Arabidopsis thaliana: one gene and its partners. The protein of the gene in region 2 interacts with the protein of the main gene of each other region in a pairwise test. Each region holds a gene or a part of one and is shown on either strand. Other genes may lie near its edges. The genes, in order: SUT4, PUP3, AT1G08230 and RK3.

Evidence for each region.
Region 1: the proteins of PUP3 (region 2) and SUT4 interact in a protein complementation assay, tested with the Arabidopsis thaliana proteins (one large-scale study listed by BioGRID).
Region 3: the proteins of PUP3 (region 2) and AT1G08230 interact in a protein complementation assay, tested with the Arabidopsis thaliana proteins (one large-scale study listed by BioGRID).
Region 4: the proteins of PUP3 (region 2) and RK3 interact in a protein complementation assay, tested with the Arabidopsis thaliana proteins (one large-scale study listed by BioGRID).

What each region holds. Positions count from the first base shown.
Region 1 is NC_003070.9:3,242,082-3,247,756, forward strand, and holds SUT4 (sucrose transporter 4), read left to right. Parts: upstream 1-1,904; 5' UTR 1,905-2,176; coding exon 2,177-2,714; intron 2,715-3,077; coding exon 3,078-3,805; intron 3,806-3,941; coding exon 3,942-4,005; intron 4,006-4,133; coding exon 4,134-4,177; intron 4,178-4,478; coding exon 4,479-4,637; 3' UTR 4,638-4,660; intron 4,661-4,746; 3' UTR 4,747-5,135; downstream 5,136-5,675. UniProt on the Arabidopsis thaliana protein: Responsible for the transport of sucrose into the cell, with the concomitant uptake of protons (symport system). Can also transport maltose at a lesser rate. May also transport biotin.
Region 2 is NC_003070.9:9,859,742-9,863,297, reverse strand, and holds PUP3 (purine permease 3), read left to right. Parts: upstream 1-1,729; 5' UTR 1,730-1,863; coding exon 1,864-2,553; intron 2,554-2,629; coding exon 2,630-2,995; 3' UTR 2,996-3,007; downstream 3,008-3,556. Other genes in the region: PUP1 (purine permease 1), read left to right, coding at 736-1,098; ATJ1 (DNAJ heat shock family protein), read right to left, coding at 3,321-3,405. UniProt on the Arabidopsis thaliana protein: May be involved in transport of purine derivatives during pollen germination and tube elongation.
Region 3 is NC_003070.9:2,583,138-2,588,641, forward strand, and holds AT1G08230 (Transmembrane amino acid transporter family protein), read right to left. Parts: upstream 3,833-5,504; 5' UTR 3,564-3,832; coding exon 3,476-3,563; exon of another isoform or gene 3,383-3,475; coding exon 3,152-3,382; exon of another isoform or gene 1,948-3,151; coding exon 1,663-1,947; intron 1,574-1,662; coding exon 1,443-1,573; intron 1,306-1,442; coding exon 1,066-1,305; intron 959-1,065; coding exon 578-958; 3' UTR 507-577; downstream 1-506. Other genes in the region: AT1G08220 (ATPase complex subunit), read right to left, coding at 1-151. UniProt on the Arabidopsis thaliana protein: High affinity gamma-aminobutyric acid (GABA) transporter probably involved in GABA uptake into cells.
Region 4 is NC_003075.7:11,388,311-11,394,855, forward strand, and holds RK3 (receptor kinase 3), read right to left. Parts: upstream 4,917-6,545; 5' UTR 4,781-4,916; coding exon 3,484-4,780; intron 2,603-3,483; coding exon 2,468-2,602; intron 2,379-2,467; coding exon 2,185-2,378; intron 2,107-2,184; coding exon 1,896-2,106; coding exon of another isoform or gene 1,891-1,895; exon of another isoform or gene 1,805-1,890; coding exon 1,567-1,804; intron 1,471-1,566; coding exon 1,320-1,470; intron 1,236-1,319; coding exon 909-1,235; 3' UTR 517-908; downstream 1-516. Other genes in the region: B120 (S-locus lectin protein kinase family protein), read right to left, coding at 6,148-6,465. UniProt on the Arabidopsis thaliana protein: Involved in the regulation of cellular expansion and differentiation.

The DNA of each region.
Region 1 (5,675 bases), 6.6 Mb from region 2:
AACATCTGAAGAGGAAACCGACACATGTTGGTAAAATAAGAAGGCACACGTCATGTAAAGAAGATGACATATGTCAGGAAAGGAACATGTCCTTACAAAATAGAAACCAAATAAACCAACAGTTCATAAATGCTCCAGTTATGCCGCGAGCCATCTTTTCTTCTTTACTAAGAAAATTTCTACATTATTTTAAGATTTTTCTTTTCCATGTAGTTGTCTCATACTTCCTTCGAAAAGATCTTTCTCTAACTTCAACCTTGGGGATCGAGCAACCATATTTCAATCAACAGATTCTTTCATCACTCTAATAACGGACAAAAAAAGAAAAGATGTCAAAAAAAAAAAAATTGGAATATGCACGTTGATACTATAAGTTCATTTAAATCAGTCGTTAGAGTAAACCTTATTGAGAGTTCAAATTCATTTAAAAACCTGATGAGATAATTATATAATTTCTTATAAGATTTTTTTTTCTTGTAAGAATTTAACGAATAGAATTTTTCTCTCTATTACTTAAAATTCCTCCTCGTCAAAAATTGCAAATGCTTGGCAGTTTTACCATTTTCTCAGAACTACCGTATGAGAAATAAAGTACGTATTAAAAAACAATACAAGCTTTAAAGATAAAAGAGGCAACAAATTTTTTTGACAAAAAAATTAGATGAAAAGAAGTGACGACAAATAACTGAGAAAACACGTTTTGCAAAACTAAAAAAAAAAAAAAAAAGAGAGAGTTGGAAAATGTTTGGAGCTGGTGGGCATTAGTTGGCTATGCAACGCACGGACGCGGATACTTTTCAACTCGTTGCTTACGCGGCCACGTTTTCGTCACAAACCGTGTTTCTTTTGCGGCCTTTTAAGTTTTAATCAAACATTTTTGTTTTCATTTGAATCTTTTTTTTAAGGCGGTTATACGAATAAAATCATTAAAAGGAGAAACGGGCCTTCATGTTTAGGTTTTTGTTCTTCCTCATTTGGGTTATTTAGCTTATTGGTTCAGCCCACAAGAGTTTCCTTCAATGGATAGGGCCTTCAGTTGCATGCCATCATCCTTTCTTGTTTCTCTATAAGCCATTTTTGCAATGAGAATTTCTCAATTTCTTATTTTTGCAATAAAATCATTTTGCCTTAGATGATGGTGGAATCATCCGTTTTTCTTTATTTTGACCCGGTGAGTAATTGAACGCAAAAAATAGTCCAATTATTCAAAACCTTACAATTTCATATCGCCATAATAAACCTAAACATGATTCGAGTGAGCAACTACATAAAAAGGGGAACGAAATGTTGGTACAAAACTGAATTCCAACCCAATCAAGTGCATACTAAACTATTGAGCAAAAACAAAGATAAAAATCAGTTCACCTACCCTAATTAAAACATGATTAGGCCTAAAAGACTATAAGTAAAGATAAAAAAGATGCCATTTTAGAGTACGTTTTGGTAAATTGGCGCCATCGTGTTATACGTTTAAACCGTATAACCTGAATCATGCAGCACGTGTACGGCTCACATTGGCCCAAGCTTGATTAACAAACAATAACGTCATTTTCGTATTTCAACAATTTTGATCGCTCAATCCTTTCGACCTAATTTCCATATTAAGTAATTTATTAGTTAAAACAACGGACTCAACCAAATTACATATTAAGAGAATATTTGAAAATTGTCTATGTAGATGAACATGTATTTGAAAATTGCGTAAGCACACTCTTTCTCTCTCTCTTTTTTTTTTTTTTTTTTCCCCCTCTTCTTTCTTTGAATAAAGATGACATTTTTTTCTGTTCCAAACACAAAACTGCATATTGATAGTGTTATTGAATACTCAACGTCTCTTCTTCCAGCTTACGTAAGTGGAACTTACTTTTTGCCCCGTGATCCAACAGAAAATGACGAATGCTCCCTCAAAATCATTTCGTTTCAACAAAAATATGTATTTTATCCATAGAGAAACAACAAACCTTACACTATATACCCTCTTTTAACGTGCCCACTTTTCATTATTTACACAATTTCCCCAACAAATTTAAAACAATTTACAAAAAGCACTCAACTTTCCTAAAGTAGATTCCTTTAGTCCAATGGAATTCTTACAACATCTTCTTCTTCGCCACCTTTTTCTCTCCACTTTAAGCTTTTTCACTCTCTCTACGCCACGACGACTGTGAAGCGAGAAATGGCTACTTCCGATCAAGATCGCCGTCACAGAGTCACTCGCAACCGTCCACCAATAGCTCGACCCTCTACTTCTTCATCTCGTCCCGTTGTATCTCCTCCTAGATCAAAAGTTTCGAAGCGTGTGCTTCTCCGTGTAGCTTCCGTCGCATGCGGGATTCAATTCGGATGGGCTCTTCAGCTTTCTCTCCTCACACCTTACGTTCAAGAGCTGGGGATCCCACACGCTTGGGCTAGTGTGATTTGGCTTTGCGGTCCTCTCTCTGGTTTGTTCGTGCAACCGCTCGTTGGGCATAGTAGCGATAGGTGTACTAGTAAGTACGGTCGTCGGAGACCGTTTATTGTCGCCGGAGCTGTGGCGATTTCTATCTCTGTTATGGTTATTGGTCATGCGGCGGATATTGGATGGGCATTTGGGGATAGAGAAGGGAAGATTAAGCCGAGGGCGATTGTTGCTTTTGTTTTAGGGTTTTGGATTCTTGATGTTGCTAATAATATGACTCAAGGTCCTTGTAGAGCTCTCCTTGCTGATCTTACTGGTAAAGTTCCTGACTTTAGTGTTGATTGGGTCTTCAATTTGAAATCATTCAAATGTAGTAAATTTGGGATTCTCGTGATTATACACTCACATGCAAAACATGAAAATGCATAAATTTGTGATTTTGGATACAATTTGGGGTTATATAATTACCTAATTGGTTCCTAACAATCAAAAGGTCCCTTCTTTGTTTCTGGTCGGTGGCTTATCGTTGAGTCACAGAGACTTTGTTTTTTCTCTTTCCCTTGAATCAAATTGTGGATTTTGGTGAAGTTAATCGTAGCCTACGATTGTGTGATAACCTCATGGAGTGAAAACAAAGATATGTTGTGTTTTAATTCTTGTCCTATTGCTTTATTTTCAGAGAATGATAATCGCAGAACCCGAGTTGCAAATGGCTACTTCTCTCTCTTTATGGCTGTTGGCAATGTTCTTGGCTATGCTACTGGATCATACAATGGTTGGTACAAGATCTTCACTTTTACGAAGACAGTTGCATGTAATGTGGAATGTGCCAATCTCAAGTCTGCCTTCTACATAGATGTTGTCTTTATTGCAATAACTACGATCCTAAGCGTCTCAGCGGCTCATGAGGTGCCACTTGCTTCATTGGCTTCTGAAGCACATGGGCAAACCAGTGGAACAGACGAAGCTTTTCTTTCTGAGATATTTGGAACTTTCAGATATTTTCCAGGAAATGTTTGGATAATCTTGCTTGTTACAGCATTGACATGGATTGGTTGGTTTCCATTTATTCTGTTTGATACTGATTGGATGGGTCGAGAGATCTATGGCGGTGAACCGAACATAGGGACTTCATATAGTGCTGGGGTCAGTATGGGTGCACTTGGTTTGATGTTGAATTCTGTTTTTCTTGGAATCACTTCTGTGCTCATGGAGAAACTTTGCAGAAAGTGGGGGGCTGGTTTTGTTTGGGGAATATCAAATATCTTAATGGCTATTTGCTTTCTTGGAATGATAATCACCTCATTTGTTGCGTCTCACCTTGGCTACATTGGCCATGAACAACCTCCTGCCAGCATCGTGTTTGCTGCTGTGTTAATCTTTACAATTCTGGGCATTCCATTGGCGGTAAGTTTACTCCTGTAATTCTGCTGTCATGTTACTTACACTATTACTTATGATATTTTGCCTGCTCATCTGTAACAACATGATGAAATTTATTTACGCTTTCGCTGTAACTAATGCTATTGCTACTCTTCTGCAGATAACTTACAGCGTCCCATATGCGTTGATTTCCATACGTATTGAATCCCTGGGCTTAGGTCAAGGTGTGCAGGCTTATCTTTGGGTGTTGTTTCTTATAAAAGTTCTGTTGTGTTGTTTCTTAGAAAAGTTCTGCTCAATGATTTTACTCTACATATGAGTGTTGTTTCTTATAAAAGTTCTGTTGTGGCAGGCTTATCTTTGGGTGTGCTAAATTTGGCGATAGTCATCCCACAGGTACACTTCTTTCAACCATCCTTTTAGCATTATATTTGCCGCAACTCAAAATCATATTCTTCTTTGAATGTTTCTGCCTGTAAAAGGAAGTCTATAAGCATAACATGCAGCAGAGTTACTGCATTATTTGTCAATTGTCATTAATAAACGATTCGTTTTTTTAGTTATGGTCATTGGCCAGTGATGAAAGTACACTTTTTATTTCTCTATATTAGTTGATTGATGAATTTCTTCCCTATGTTGGTTATGGTTTTTGGCATCAAACTCAAATTCTGTTGTTCAATCATTTATGTGTTTGCAGGTAATTGTGTCTGTTGGCAGTGGCCCATGGGATCAACTGTTTGGAGGTGGGAATTCACCGGCACTTGCAGTAGGAGCAGCTACAGGCTTCATTGGCGGAATTGTAGCTATCTTGGCTCTTCCACGGACAAGGATTCAGAAGCCCATCCCTCTCCCATGAGATTCTCTCTTTTGTTATATAAGGTAATAATGTCACAATTCTTTCACAAAAAGTACATAGTAAGCACTTAAGTTGTCACTGATTATTAAAAGCGGCTAATGCGAAATAGATGAGTGTCAAGCGAGGAACGCATAAGGGGAGTGCTTGGAAATGGCAAGGAGATGGAACACTTAATGTGATCCTTGTCGAAAATTCGTGCAATGGCTTCTCGTGTGACTAACTTATTTGCAGCTACTAGGACTTAATCCCCTCTACTTTGGGGACTATGATCCTTGTATACACGAGGCACCATAGAACCAATGAAAATAATACATCATTCAGTTTGTGAGGTATATGCATCTCTCCTTTATTGGAAGTTCCAGTTCGGGATCTTCTCTGTTTTTTTTGTTGTTGTTGTAAATTAATGTAAAAACCTGTGTACAACAGAGTGTTTGTAAGGGCCCCTGAGTTCTGTAACTGTTTATAAAGTTCATTTTCTTTAGAATTAGTTTGATAAAGAAAACCTGAGATCCAAAAAATTTACATGATCTGTGTAGCAAAAGTAGAAAGGAACCATTACGAGTACTAGTAGTCTCTATAGTAGCAGTAACCACCAATAGTCAGCAATAGATTAGGATGACTCTTGGGAATATTAAGACCATCTCCAATGGTTAAGAAGTAATTGGTTCTTAACCAAACATCTTAACAATTATTTATACTAAAATTTTGAAACATGACATGTAACTGTTTTTTTCACTCATGAAAACTTCTTAGCTAAGAAGCAAATCTTAGTTTTTAATTTATTTTGATTTAATTTTCAAAGTTTAATTCTAAAATATTATTCTAAGATACACCTAAGATAAACCATTGGAAGTGCTCTAAGCCTAGTAGGAAGGAATAGTAGCAAATCCCAGTTTTCTTCTTGAGTGAGATGTTTGAGATTGAAATTACTGTAATGCTATTGAGATTCTGTAGGCAGCGTATCAATAATTGAGAGAAATAAGTAGATGCTAATACAGCTTGAGCAATACTTATCCTTGTAAAATTGTGAATGATTCC
Region 2 (3,556 bases):
GTAATCACCCGCGCTACGCTGCGGTATTTTCAGATTTTTTGTATCGTATAATTTAAATATAATTTTTAATTATCTAATCATTTACTTATGTAATAAGTAATTATTCTTAGTATTAAAATATATTTTTTCTAACAACATTCTCAACAATGCATTATACACACAATTCCTAAACAATGTTCATCTTAAACTAATTAAATAGAGGGTAATACTGGAATTCTCGAAACCTAAGAATTTGATGATTAAATTTCTTACATACTCTTCACCCTCGGCGATTTATTATATAGATATATAACAATATGCAAACTATTCAAACTATTAACTAATCCATGACTACTATACACTCATAATTTGAGTTAAGATTACAGAAAAAAATCTTCTGAGTATGAGAAAACCAATAAAATTATTTTATTGAACAACATGTAATAACAAAATAAATTTAGTATTAGTACAATTAAATATGTAAAATTAAATAATAAATACATCATTAATCTATAAATTAAAAGTTGAAAGCTTACATTAATTATTATGTGGACACATGGCACATGTTAAAGTGATGATGTGTCAATCATATGGAGAGAGTTGGCCAACTTTCATATATATGATTTGTCTTCCTTATCTTTTATTAGAAACATTATTTAAAAATTGTTCAAACCTTTATCCTGTATTTCCATATCTATTTAAAATTATGATTAAACTTGAGAATCAACTAAAATCATCATCATACATGTTTTGTAGGTGATAGCAAGAGAAGCAAGAGAGTTCAAGATTGGAGGATCAGTGTTTTACTATGCATTGATAGTGATCACAGGAATAATATGGCAAGGTTTCTTCTTAGGAGCCATAGGGATTGTGTTTTGTGCATCATCACTAGCTTCTGGTGTTCTGATAAGTGTTCTGCTTCCGGTGACTGAAGTTTTCGCCGTCGTTTGTTTCCGGGAGAAGTTTCAGGCAGAGAAAGGTGTCTCTCTACTTCTTTCTCTTTGGGGATTTGTCTCTTACTTCTACGGCGAGTTTAAATCCGGCAAGAAAGTTGTTGATAAACCTCAACCGCCGGAGACAGAACTGCCTATTCTTCCTGTTAGTGATTATGTTGCTTAATTTCTATAACTCTATAGGATTATAACAGAGCATTACTGTTATGTTTTGTTCCTAATATTATGTGTGATTGTGTGTTTTGTTATTGTTCTTGTGTATAAGTATGAATAAATTTGAAAGATATTGAGCTATTTGATAAATGCAAATTTTAATACACTTGTAGTAGAAATAGAATGATAATGATAAGTAAAAGATAGGATATTTCGTATTTGATAAAATCACATCCTATTTATCGATTTTATAAAATAAACATTTCACACTTTTAATTTAAGATTAATATAATTTATCTATTTAATATAAAAATTTGTATATAAATCAAAGAACTAATATAGAAAGAAGAAGAGAAAACAAAAGAGATAGAGTCAAAGAACCAATTAACCATCCTTAAAATCTTCTAATTATAGAGAGAATTATGAACTGAAAATCTTAATGTCATTGCACTAAATTTAGAAAGAAATAAATCCAATAATCAAAACTGTAGAATTTGATGGAAACGTAAATTAATATGAGAGATATGATATTATCTGGTCTATAAGATAATTACTACGTTTTTTATACGAAATTAAACAGTTAGCAAAATTTATGGGTATAAAATAGGAAAAGTCATGTTTTAGCCATTGAAGCCTCGTTAGGTAAAAAGAAACACAAAGATCTATCACGACAGAATCTAAAACCGGACCAAATTTGTTCCAAAACACAGCAACACCAAACCTTATAACTAACTCCTTCGACCACCAACCTTCATTATCCACAAGAAATCAGACAAGAATGGTGAAGGCTCTTGTGATCATAAACTGCATAATTCTAGCCATAGGAAACTGTGGAGGTCCTTTGATTATGCGTCTCTACTTCAACAATGGCGGTAAAAGGATTTGGTTCTCTACGTTTCTTGAAACTGCAGGCTTTCCTGTTATCTTCATTCCTCTGCTCTTCTCTTACATTACCCGGCGCAGAAGCAACAATGTGGGTGATAGTACAAGTTTCTTTCTTATCAAACCGCGTCTTCTTATCGCCGCTGTTATTGTAGGCATTCTCTCAGGGTTTGATAACTACTTGTATGCATATGGTATAGCTTATCTTCCAGTTTCTACAGCTGCTCTTATCATTGCTTCACAGTTAGCTTTTATAGCTATCTTCTCATTCTTCATGGTTAAACATAAGTTCACTCCTTTTACCATCAATGCTGTTGTGTTGTTGACTGTTGGTGCTGCGGTTTTGGGAATGCATACCGAAACTGATAAGCCAGTTCATGAGACTCACAAGCAGTACATAACTGGTTTCTTGATTACTGTAGCAGCAGCTGTTATGTATGCTTTCATCTTGCCATTAGTGGAACTTGCTTACCAGAAAGCTAAGCAAACCATGAGCTATACCCTTGTGCTCGAGTTCCAGTTGATTTTGTGTCTCCTTGCTTCTATTGTCAGCGTCATCGGTATGTTCATCGCTGGTGATTTCAAGGTTAGTCACTCTTTTGAATCTGAAAACATACAAAAGAGTTTTTAACAGAGACTTGAGCCCTTTACTGTTTTTGCAGGCCTTACCAAAAGAAGCAAGAGAGTTCAAGCTTGGAGAGGCATTGTTCTATGTGGTGGCTGTGTTTTCAGCCATCATATGGCAAGGCTTCTTCTTGGGAGCCATTGGATTAATCTTCTCCACATCGTCTCTCGTCTCGGGTATTATGATATCAGTGCTTTTGCCAATTACAGAGGTTTTAGCTGTTATATTCTACCATGAAAAGTTTCAAGCTGAGAAGGGACTTTCTCTTGCTCTCTCCCTTTGGGGCTTTGTCTCTTACTTTTATGGTGAGATAAAGTCTGGCGAGGATAAAAGGAGAATTCAGCAGGAGGAGAGTCAGGAGACAGAACAATCTTCTTTGTCAAGACCCATAAGTGAGTGTTAAAACTCAACGAAGCATGGCTTTTCGTTTAAAGACATCATAGCACTCATTTCTCCGCCAAGTAGATTAGAAGATATGTTTGAGAAACTTGTGGGATTATGCCGAAAACACAATCTTAAAGGACTTTTTTTTTTCTTTTCTTTATTTCAGCTTAACTTGTTTGATGTCTCTTATTATTCACATCAAATGAGTTTGTAATAGAATTATGAGGTCAAACAATGACACTCTCTGTTATGCTGGTGAGCTTTTTGTTCTACCAGCAATAGATGAAATTAGTCTTCATTTGTCTTCTGTTGAATGCTTTTATCTTTCATCTCTCGTGGTGGCTTCATCCCATTAACCTGCTCAACAATAGCGCCAGCAGCACCATTAACGAGAAGTCGCGGATGATCTGAGGACCCGTTAGATTCCACCTGTAAGTTCAACCAGTAGAGAGCTTCTGGTAAAGCCTGTTTGGTTCATATTCATGATTCTTCATTACTATAAGGAACAATCGCTAGTGAGGAAATAACATTCAGTTGAATCAAAATGTAAAGAAAAAGCCCCAACAGACATTTTGGCTTT
Region 3 (5,504 bases), 7.3 Mb from region 2:
GGAAAGAACGGGTGGTTGATCGAAGAGCTGGCATTTGAGAAGGGAGAGAGTCATGATTCTCGTATCGAGTGAGGGAGAAGAGTCCTTGATGATGCTTGTTGAGAGCAGAGACTGATCTATGCTTCAGGATTCGATTCAACGTCGTCGCCATTTTAGTAGAGCTTAAACCCTATTTGTTTGGTTATGTCTCTCTGCCGGCGAACCAAACACGCTTGAAATTGAAAACGAGTCTAAAATCCTGAACCAGATTTTTGTGTGGGTAACCAATCAAACCGATTTTTTAAATCCGGTTTAATTATAGCCCCCAACTTTTGGGCTTCCGTTTCTAGGAATTGTTTTGCGTTGGGTTTCAAATGCTCATATTCCAGGCCTGTACTGTGATTTATCAATTTTCTAGATATTTATTTCATCTGTATTTATTTCATTCAAAATTAATTAATTTAAATTATGTAAAAATATTGTTATCAAAATTTGAATATTATTTTCCAAATTTATAATCATAAACATTTTTCTAAGAAAAAAAAAGGCTTATTCTTAAATATAGAAATAACAATCTCACTTTGCTTTGCATGTTCTTTTATACATCCGCAAACAACTTATACGTATTGGCATCTATTATAATCTGTCTAACCGCCGCTACCATAGCAATCACCCCTAAACACGAAAAAACCACGGCGATCACAGTGTTGATCCAAAAAATGAAACTTTTTTTAGACGGCTTGAAAGTAAAGTTGAAGAAAACTACAGGAAGAACGAAGTCTAGAGGTATAAAACCGAAAGCGCCTAACAAGGAGTTTACATCTCCAAAAAATGGAAGCATTGCCGCAACGATTGTAGCCATCACGACGAAGAGGGAACGCACAACTAGTCGAGGGATGACATTGCGGATAGAGAATTCTTTCTTTGTTGGATCGCTGATCACACTTTCCAAAATATCGTTTATAGGTTGTAGGTATACCTGCATAACTCAAAATTAGTAACAATGTATATATGTGACGAAAATAAAATAAAATAATAACAATGTATATATGTGAAAGAAAAACGTTAAAAAAAAATTGTATTTACCACAGCAACGGCCGAAAGTTGAAGGACAGTGAAGAGATTGACGAGAAAAATAAACCAAGTAGGGACAAAGTAATGGTTTGTCTCGGCATTTAAGAAATTGGTGAAGATAAGTCCATTGGCTTTTTTACCGAATGCCCAATATCCTGTGATGGCTACTGTGAAAAATGTCATTATTACTACAAGGTAACACATACACAACCCTTTCATCATTTTTCCTTTCACTGGTGCCGATATTGTTGCCTGCGTTGCAAGAAGATAGTATTCATATATCAAATACTCTATATATATAACTGAGTCGATCATGTGACTGCCCTTTTGTTTTTGATGAATAAATATTAAAGTGGTGTTCTAAACAAAGAATGGAAACAAAATGAAACCTGAATTTCAGGTATAATGCCATTGCCGTATGTAGTAGCAATAATAGCCATAGCATTAAAGATTCCAAACACTCTAGTTTCTGGATCACCAACTATAGTATAGTCCTTCTCTGGTGCATTTGGTTCTTTTCCTGATATTTAACAGAAAACTCACCTTTTAAATGTAACAATATAAAAGGTTTAAGAATTAAGAGTAAAGTGGTTTAGTAAAGAAGAGTACCAATGTAGATGGATGCAGCAGCGGCAGAAGCACTGTAGAGGAGGCAGAGGAGGAGAGACAGTGAGTTGATGTATCGTAGAGAGTGAAAGGATGGGAATTGTGCCAAAACCAAAAGTAAGCATCCAAAAATAATCACAAACTCAAAGAGTTTCATTTCCCCATTTGGCTGCACTACCAAGTACATTGCCTTTAGGCATTGCCCTCCCAAGAGCGCATTGGCAATAACCACACCATAGCACACCGCCATTTGTATTGGTCCAACGTAGTACCTTCCCCATTTCGGACCTTATCAAACACACCCCAATAATTGTTAAGAGGAAAACCAAACTGATCTTAACTAATCAAACATTCGGAACCTGTATTATACTTTACCTTATCCTAATTAAAGTTGTATACAGTCCCGAAAAAGTGGGCTAAATCGAATTCCTATAAATCCTTCAGATTAGCGGTGTACTCTAATGAAAACTAAAATCCAAATCGATGATTCGATGCATAATGGATTTAGTTTCATATTAGCTACTAAAACAGAATTATCCAGTAAGATAAAAAATTTCAATCAATTTTTTCTCATCATTTTGTAGTTTTTGCATAGATAAATACGTTAAATTTTGTCTTAAAAGTTTTGTTGACATGTGGATTTCCTTGGTAGTCGACAGTCAAAGCGTAACTATCCTAATTTGGATCGAATCCTATGTAGGATCTGAAATTTAGAATATTCTACTTTTGAAAGCAGATCGAACCTATCCAACTTTACTTATATAAGATTAAATTTTGGTCGGCACCAACGTTTTATGAATACTCTTCTGACACGCACATATTTTTAAAAATTGAAATTAGTTTTGAAAGACAAATTTCTGCATCAAAAATGAAACAAGACACGGAAAGAGACAGCTATCTAACGCATGAAAAAGTTGAAACTTAACAGTGGTATGAGTGGAAATGTGGAATGGTCAACACTTCGATCCGGATCCCAACAAAATTGAACCGAAGCAAGCCATATCAAAAAATTCACTATAATATGAATTCCATATGATTAGTTTTTTTTCTTCTTATAATTCGAAACAAGACCAAACAGTATAGAAAAGTATTTTTTTAAAAATCATAGGTTTACACAATACATATATTGTGATATTAACCAACCACGAACAAAAGTTGAGCTCATACCAATGTTTACTTGGTTTCTTATAAAATTCCGTTGTTCGTAATAGCAAACGTGATTATAAGTATTCCATCTCGCGTTTTCACACAAAAATTAACTTTTTTTTTTGTTCAAACAAATTATTACGTAGGACATGTACCTTCCTTTATTGCGTGGATGAAATTATTGGAGTGGTACCGGCCGTGTGTCAATTATTACGTATAGAAGTTCATATAGACACGTATGTCTACGTACAACTATACATCTCAATCTTGAATGAAATTCTCTTAAGGTAAATTTGTCGCAGCTTTGATTATAGGAAAGAGCAAATGTAAAAAGAAAAAGAATTACTGAGGATGTGATGAGCCATGTCACGGAAGCGGAGGTAACGGTTGCCGAGAGAAGCGTGGTGTTCGAGAGTAAGAGAAAGAAGAGTGTACGAGTAGAAAGTAACGGCTGCTCCTCCGACCAGACAAGATATCCCGGCAGCCCATCCTAAGAACTTGAAGGCGTACGGTAGACTCAGTAGCGCAGGCGCCACTATAGACGTCGTCAAGTGGAATCCGCAGTGCCACCATGTCCCTAGTTTCCATCATCATCATCATCATATCTTCTTCAAATGGGTTATAATAGTATACGTTAAGTTTCATAGATTTCATAATTAATAAAACGTACCTTTGGATTTAAGGACGAAGAGAGAACCAGCATCAACTACTTCTTCCCCTCTTTTTTCTCCATCTCCTGATCTCTCTTCTCCACCCATCTCTTTATCGCTCTCTTTGTTTCTCTTTCTCTCTCTCTCCCCCCACTAGGTGCTACTCACTTTTATAAGTCCAAAAAACACACTTGCTATCATATCATCTTTTACCTAAAAGCATTTCGTAATAATATTAAACATTGCAGATTTATAGTTTATCGATTCTCTTCTGTGTCAAACGATTTATGAAGTTATAAAATGTGTATATCTTGATTATTTTCTTTAAAAAATATATGATAGAATATGAAAATAAATGGAGAATTCAAAATATTTTGGAAACAAATCTCTTAAATCTTATTTTTTATATATAATTTCAAAATAATCGATTTTGGAGACAATCTTAAATTTTCAATACATCCAACAAACAGTAATAGAAAAAGCAAATTGGATAATAGTAATAACATATCAATATAACATGTTAATATGTATATTAAATCCTTATTACAGTTTTACATTTTCATTATAACTGACAGAATTTTTAAAATTGAAAGAAATTTCTTTCGGTTAATAATAATAATACTAGATTTTCACCCGCGATATACCGTAGGGACAATTTATATTTTAAAATTAGTATATATAAAAGTTTGTAATTTGTAACAATCTATGTAACTATCTATAAAATATTTTTATTTTATAGTTTAGAATTGTTATTAAGTAACGTCCTGCCAAACTCGTCCTGCCAAACTCGTCCTGCCAAACTCGTCCTGCCAAACTCGTCCCGCCAACCCATCCCGTAAAAAAAGCTCATTTATTTTATTAATGTTGATCTTCTTTATCATATGTTTATGAATCATTGTCTAAATATTTTGTAATTTTGTAGTAATTAAATGTTATCAAATATCTCTGCGGTTTGATGATTATAATTGAATTGTAATAGTCATGAAGAAAAACAATATCAATAATGATAATTTTGTAGTAATTAAATGATATTAAATATTTTGAAAGTTTTATTTTAGTAACCAATCGTGTAGTTAATGTAAAGAGATTTTAAAAAAATTTATTAAATGTCAAATATTTAATTCGAAGATTTTTTTTCTAATTATCAAAAACAAATATTAAAATCCAGTGGCAATCATTGTAAATAATTCTCAACTACAAGATTTATTTCACAAAATAGTTGCAAAAATGTATATATAGACTAGATTTTAACCCGCGGTACACCGCGGAGATAATTTTTTTTATTTAAACTAGTATATATAAAATTTTGCAAATTATCTCTATCTATAAAATATTTTTATTTTATAGTTTACAATTGTTATTAAGTAACGTCCTTCCAAACCCGTTCTGCCAAACCCGTCCTGTAAAAAAAAACCGCGGTACCCCGCTAGTTGAAATTTATAATTAAAATAAATATTTTATGGATTGCGATTGTGTTTTAGTTTGTCAAACAAAATTTTGTTTTAAATAGTTGTCGAAATCTAGTTCAAATTTTGGAGAAATAAGATTTAGTGAATTGATAAGAAATGTATTTAGTTGCGTTTGCTCATTTTAAGGGATTGCAATTGTCTTTTGGGTTGTCAAACATTTTTTGTTTTAAATAGTTGCTGAAATCTAGTTCAAATTTTGGAAAAATCTGCGTGATATATGGGATTGAAATATATTTGGAATGTTTTTCGTTTGTTAATCAATTTATTGCTGAAAAAACTAATAATTAAAAGCCAGTGACAGCCATTGTAAATAAGTTTCAACTCCAGGATTTATTTCACAAAATGGATGCAAAAATATATATATAGATTATATCTATATATATGTATTTTAAAATCTTTCTCACTTTAACCTCAACATCCAAAGTTTATATGTATATATAGTTTATTTGCTCGATATGCAAAAGCGTCTGTAGTCCAACGGTTAGGATAATTGCCTTCCAAGCAATAGACCCGGGTTCGACTCCCGGCAGACGCATTTATATTTTTTAACAATCTTTTCTGAAAATTTGAAAAGACAACA
Region 4 (6,545 bases), on a different chromosome or scaffold from region 2:
CAAGAACCCGACCAAAAAAAATCATCTCTCAAGAAATTAATTATCTATGCTAAATATTCTAAATTTCTAAACTCTCATTTAAAATTTAAATTAGCAAGCATTCATGTCAATATTAATGTGCTCATAAATCACAATTCTGTATATCAACTATCATTATTAAAGGACGAGCTACTCATCAAAGGTTAATTAAGGAATTTTGACAGAACACTTTTGATGCATAAAAATCCTTATGATCTAAAACAATTTTAATCAAGCCTCTCCAAACATTGAAATTGCGAACACTTTTGATGCACAAAAATCCTTATGATCTAAAACAATTTTAATCAAGCCTCTACAAACATTGAAATCACCTTGAAATGAAGGAAAATTTGAAATCACCTTAAAATGAAGGAACCATGAAGGATTTACTCTGTCATCAGTTAAAAACAAAAAATCCACTATACCCCCATGATCTTCCTAAAGCCCATAAATTAAATCCACCGGATTTTGGCCATGGTTAGCGATGGAAATAGGTGTTGCTGATCATAAAAAATTCTTATAACGTATGTACTTATTAAAAAAAAAATCTATTACAACATGTACAAACCTAATCTCAAAACGTACAACCCGAAATTCTACTAACCAACAATATTTGCCTCTTCTAGTAGCCATAATTTATAATATGAAAGTCTGAGAATCTTTCAAAATATCACATTGATGTCCTATAACTGCAGGACTATTTGGGTTATCCATAAAGCAATTACAGAATACATGCTTAATTAAGACAATTGAATCATGTAGTAACCTTTGCAACGGAGACGTACAGAGAAAATACTATGCACATAACTAATACCATCTTTCCTAGTTGATTCTTATTGTCGCTCAATTTAGTCATCTTAGTATAGAAGATTGGCTAGTTGACAGTCACATTACCGAGCATCAAGGACCGAGACAGTAATTTGGTTCACTGTCCATGATTCATCGTCGCGCTGTTTACTCGACGAAGAATCAGTGTCAAGAAGACTTCTCTCCAGGCAATAACCGGGCGCTTTAGGTTGAGGAATAGTTGTTGATTCGCTTCCGAGCATCAAAATTACCAAGGACATAGTTGGTCTGTCCTCTGCACGTTCTTGAACACACAAGAGGCCAATTTGTATGCATCTTAAGATTTCATGTTGCCTGAATGTTGATGAAGAATCTGTGATGATTGGATCTATGATCTCTAGCCCTTTTCCTTCTTTCCAATTCCTCCACACCTGTGTATAATGATCGAAATTTTTCTAGTGTTATCATTATTTTGAGTGTAAAACAAGATCAAGTTTGAGAGGTTTTTAACTTACACAACCGAGAAGGTTAAGGTCACGGTCCGAATTGTAGAATCCTTTGTTCCTCTTGCTACTTATAATCTCAAGAAGCAAGACCCCAAAACTGAAAACATCTGACTTCATCGAGAATATCCCGTCCATTGCATATTCAGGAGACATATAACCGCTGAATAACGAAGATTAGACTCAAAGTTTTGAGTTATTTTTTTTTAATTCAGATTTCAAACAAAGATTTTTAATATTTTGGAGAATGATTGCTTACTAGGTTCCAACCACCTTCCTCGTATTAGCTTCTGTCTCATCCCGTCCAAAGATCCTAGCCATTCCGAAATCCGAGATCTTTGGAGTCATATATTTATCAAGCAAGATGTTACTTGCTTTCAAGTCTCTATGGATAATTCTAAACCGTGAATCTTGGTGAAGATATAGAAGTCCTCGAGCAATACCATTGATGATATCAAATCTCATTTGCCAATTTAGCTTAGAGTTTCGGGATTTGTCTGCTAATGAATCATCACTGGATTGAGTACATTATTTTTAAAGACATTGAAAAATTGTTAGAACAGAGTTGTAAGGAGTTGAGACACTAACCAAATAGATGAGAGTCGAGGCTTAGATTTTCCAAGTACTCGTAAATCAACATCTTCTCACCCGCATCGACGCAACATGCAAGAAGCCTAACAAGGTTTATGTGCTGAAGCCTTGCAATCAACTTTACCTCATTCTTGAACTCATCAGTCCCCTGAACTGATGTCTTTGATAGTCTCTTCACTGCCATTTCTTGACCATCAAGTAACTTTCCCTGTAACCCTTAATTTTGTTACACAACGAAATATTTGTCCAGCGATAGATTATGAATTAAGTTTTCAATCATTTTTACCTTATAAACTATACCAAAACCACCTTGTCCTAGCTTGTTGGCGTTAGAAAAATTGTTTGTGGCCATGGCAACTTCTTCAAACTCCATCAATGGCAATTCGAGATCGTCTGTATTGTTTTCTCTAGATATGTGTCTCCTACTTGATATTACAACTTCGTTCATTAGCAAATCTCGGCTTCTCAGTTGATGATCAACTGTTACATACAGACACCAAAAACAGTAAAGATATTAGTTTTAAGAAATTTACAAACAAAAAGAAAGGAATTAAAATTTACAGATATACCAATAGGTGTTTCGATTAGTATTGATCGCTTCTGCTTCCTTTTCCACAAGAAGAAGATAATGAAACTTAAAAGAAGCAAAACGCTCACTCCAATACTCGAACCTATGATTTTTGCACTTCTGTTTCTTTTGTCCTCTGAAATAATGAAAAGAGATGTCAAATTGAGCACAACATTTAGGACCTCGACCATGGAAATGAATATCATTTTATAAAACAAACTAGTATTAGTCTTATGATTTAACAAAATAATAAACATTGTCGTACTTTTGATTAAAGATAAACGCCAACAAACAAAAAACAGCGTTATACTGTTATCGCCAATAAAAACAAAACATAAAGATTGGTCTACCTAAAAATAATTTCTTTTGGCTTTGGATCTACCTTACCATATTATTCTTGAGATTGATAAGTTTTTGTGAAGAATATAGTAGTAATCAAAAGTTTCACTCATGCGTTGCATCTTTTAAGAAGATTAAAAGTCCATTGGACCTTAGTTCTTTATCACAAGAGTTTTCACATATAATGCCAAGACCGAATGCGTCAACATCTCAATCAAGTTTAAGAAGTTTGAAAAGAGGGAAAATAAAACTGAAAAACGTTTTGTTAAATTCCAAATTCGTTAACCAACAACAATATAACATTGACTTGCACTATTCAACACCATTCTCACATTCTACCCCAAAAAAAAAGTGCTTTATCTAACAACCAAGTTAATTACTATTCTTGAAACCCTTAAAAAACGTTTCTTCCTTTTGTCGTTTAAGAAAATCTTTAGTATAATGTGATAGGATTACTCAATAACTTGATTGGGCAGTTTTAGCATCAATTTTTAGTCTTACTGACAAAATCTTTTATGATGTCTTTTTAGTTTCTAGTATGTATAAAACTGTTTACATGTTTTGAAAAGTGATCTTGAAGACTATTATCAACCGTTACTTAGCAAAAGTAAATATGTGGAAAATGAAAACCAAACATATGTCATTTAGTCTAATAGAGATAGTGGAGAATGAACTAACCGAGATCAGTAGCAGCCAATCTAACGTAAAGATCTTGACCACCTTTGGCATAATTCCTGATATCAAAAAGCTCTCCGGTCCAAGTCACACAACCCGACCCGCTACCCCGGATATCCGTATTCGCAAACGCCGTGCAATTACAATCTCTTAAACACTTCTGTTCACATTCTTTCACACCAATTCCTCTGTCCACACTAGCCGTGGTAGTATCCGGCAATTTCATTTTCTTCAACCGCACAAACCCATCTCCGCCACCACAGCTCAGTAGCGTCTTCCTCACGCAACCATCCGACCCGTCTCTCAATCCCCACACTTGAGGATTCCTCGGCTTAAACCCTTTAATACAATTACAAACAGGTGAAGTGTTCGAGTCGCAATAACCGTAAACACCACACTCTTTGTACTCATCACATTGGTCTTTTGGTGCGTACCAGAATTGGTTCCAATTCTGTGCTGTCTCAATCCAAGTGAATCTTTGTAACAATCCTGAGGAGCTTATGCTTAATCTCGAGTAAACGTCGCTTTTAGTGATTCTAAATGAGTAAGTCACTTCTTCTTTACTCGTAGTGAAATTGAAAACCATGTATTCAAATGGTTGCATCTCCGGTACACCACTAAACCGGATTCCATTCCATGGACCACTCCGGTACATTCGTGATTCTCTGTTCCATAGAAAAATCTCAGGGAAGCCTTCGGTTTCGAGTTTGAACGAGAAATCTCCACTTGATGGATCATCTGGAGATTTCCATGATCTAATGAATCTGTTGAACCCGGTTTTGGCATCCCAGCCAAGTTTCATCTCCGGAAGTAAAGTATCTGTCGGAAAATCAAAACTCTGCCACAAAACTCCATCTGGAGCGCTGTTCTTGGAGTCTCTGAGCACAAAATTACCATTATCAAGAAGCTCTGCCACCAATGGAGATCTCACATCTCCTCCGGTCAGATTCGTCGACCAAACCGGTGTATCGGACTGATCCAAAACGACAAGATTACTGTCGGAGATTTTGAGAGTTCCGATGGAACTAGAGAGAGGAGTGTCTCTGTTTGCAACCCATACGTAGGTTCTCTTAGAGATTGCCTTGTACCAAATTCCAAGATACCAACGAGAATCTAAACCGGGTTTGAAGAAACCAAGCTCGAAGACATTACCAGGAGACACAATGGTGTTATTGCTTGAGATAGTTAGAGATTCTGAAGCCGACAAAGTGTTGGCAGAGATAGAGTAAGCAGGGAACAGAATTAAGAGGAAGAAGAAGAAGAAGGTGTAAGAATGGTAGAAATTTGGTAAACCTCTCATTTCTCTAAACCAAGTTTTTTGTTTTTCACTCTTTCTTGAGAAAAGTATGAGAGTTTATTTCCATTGGAGATATCGGACATGTTTTGTGTAATGTGTGAACCTTACGTAACCGATTTTATTTCTGTCAATAATATATTACCTTGCTTTTTTTCTTTTCTTGGTCTTCTTGTTCGCATTTGGAAAAAATATCTAGTTATGTACTATGTGTACAGTCCAATTCATAGTTGACCTAGCAAATAAAAAGTCTTCTTCTTCTTTTTTTTTGTCAGGCTTTCTTTCCTTTTCCAATAGTCATTTTTACTTCATAAATTCAGAATTTTTCTTCAAAATATGATATTATTGATGACCATTTTTTTTAATAAATTACTTAATATATTGCTTTTTCGTATTTTATTATCAGTCAACCTTTTGTATGCATGCTTCGAGAGTTATATAAATTTCAGTGTTCTTTTTCGTAATAAATAACTCAATTTTTTTTTTATCCTTCCCAATAAGAACTTCAATGTTAGTATTCATCAAACAAACCCTACTTTAATTTATTTCCGCATTCTCCGAAGACAAAAAAGAAAGGGGTCGTTTCACGTTTTCCTGACTTTTTCTTTTTTTCTCTAACTCTAAATAATTCATCATTCCATTCAATTTAATAATGAGTCTACATTTGAATTATTCATCACCAAATATAATGTTGTCCTATGCATTTTGTTTGACGATTTTTGGCTTTGGAGCTTGGAGGAGAGGAAAATTTATGTTAACACGGTTTTAGGTATATTATATAAGTATGAAATACGAAGACCGAATACTCTTTTCACCATCAAAACAGTACTAATTACCATAGTCAACGCTCCAAAAGTCTTATTTTTGAACATCCTCATAATTCTTCGTTCCTCGTTTGATTTATATATAATAACTCTATACATAAAAATCAATCACATTTTAATTAAATTAAACACAATAATCCTACAATATTTGAAACAACTCACCTATATTTAATAGAATGAAAAACAATTATTATGATCCTCATTTCAAAACTAACCTAAATATTTTAAGACTACCACCTTTGTTATAGTATAAACGATTTATTTGAAGATTTATTTCAGATAAATGCTTTTTGATATTTTATCTGTTTTCATTTGTTTATACTTGTAAATTGATCCATTGTGATATTTTTGAAAAAGAATAGTGTGGTGATTTTTTCAAAATATCAACATCATACTGTAATAAAACCCCATTTGTAATGTTTCACTTTATGAACAAAATTTCAAGTTTCAACAACCATTACTCCATTATCCTAATTAACCAAAAAATATTATACGTTTTCACAACAATTATATAAAAAAAAACTTTACAAAAGAACAAACAAAAGAATCTTATCGTCCAAGAACAACCGTTGAAGTGATCTCATTAGAAGAAACGATGTATTGTTGGCTCGAATCAAGAGCAAAGTTGACATCAATGGAGTTTCTTCTGGTGGAAGTAAACGTTGGTTGTCTAGGCGCAGCGAGCGTCGCTGTGTCACTCTCTAACATAAGCAAAACTGAAGCCATGTTGGGTCTCTCCGCAGCCGAATCTTGAACACATAGCATCGCTACGTGTATGCATCTCAAGGCCTCTCGCTTACTGCATGTGACCCTGATCTTAGGATCCACAAGCTCCTCTGATCTCCCATGAGTATACAAATACCAAGCCTGCAAGCATTCAGTTTCCACCACTAATTAGACCATTTATAAACCAAACCAAACCAAAATTTCAAATGCTCATTAAGAGA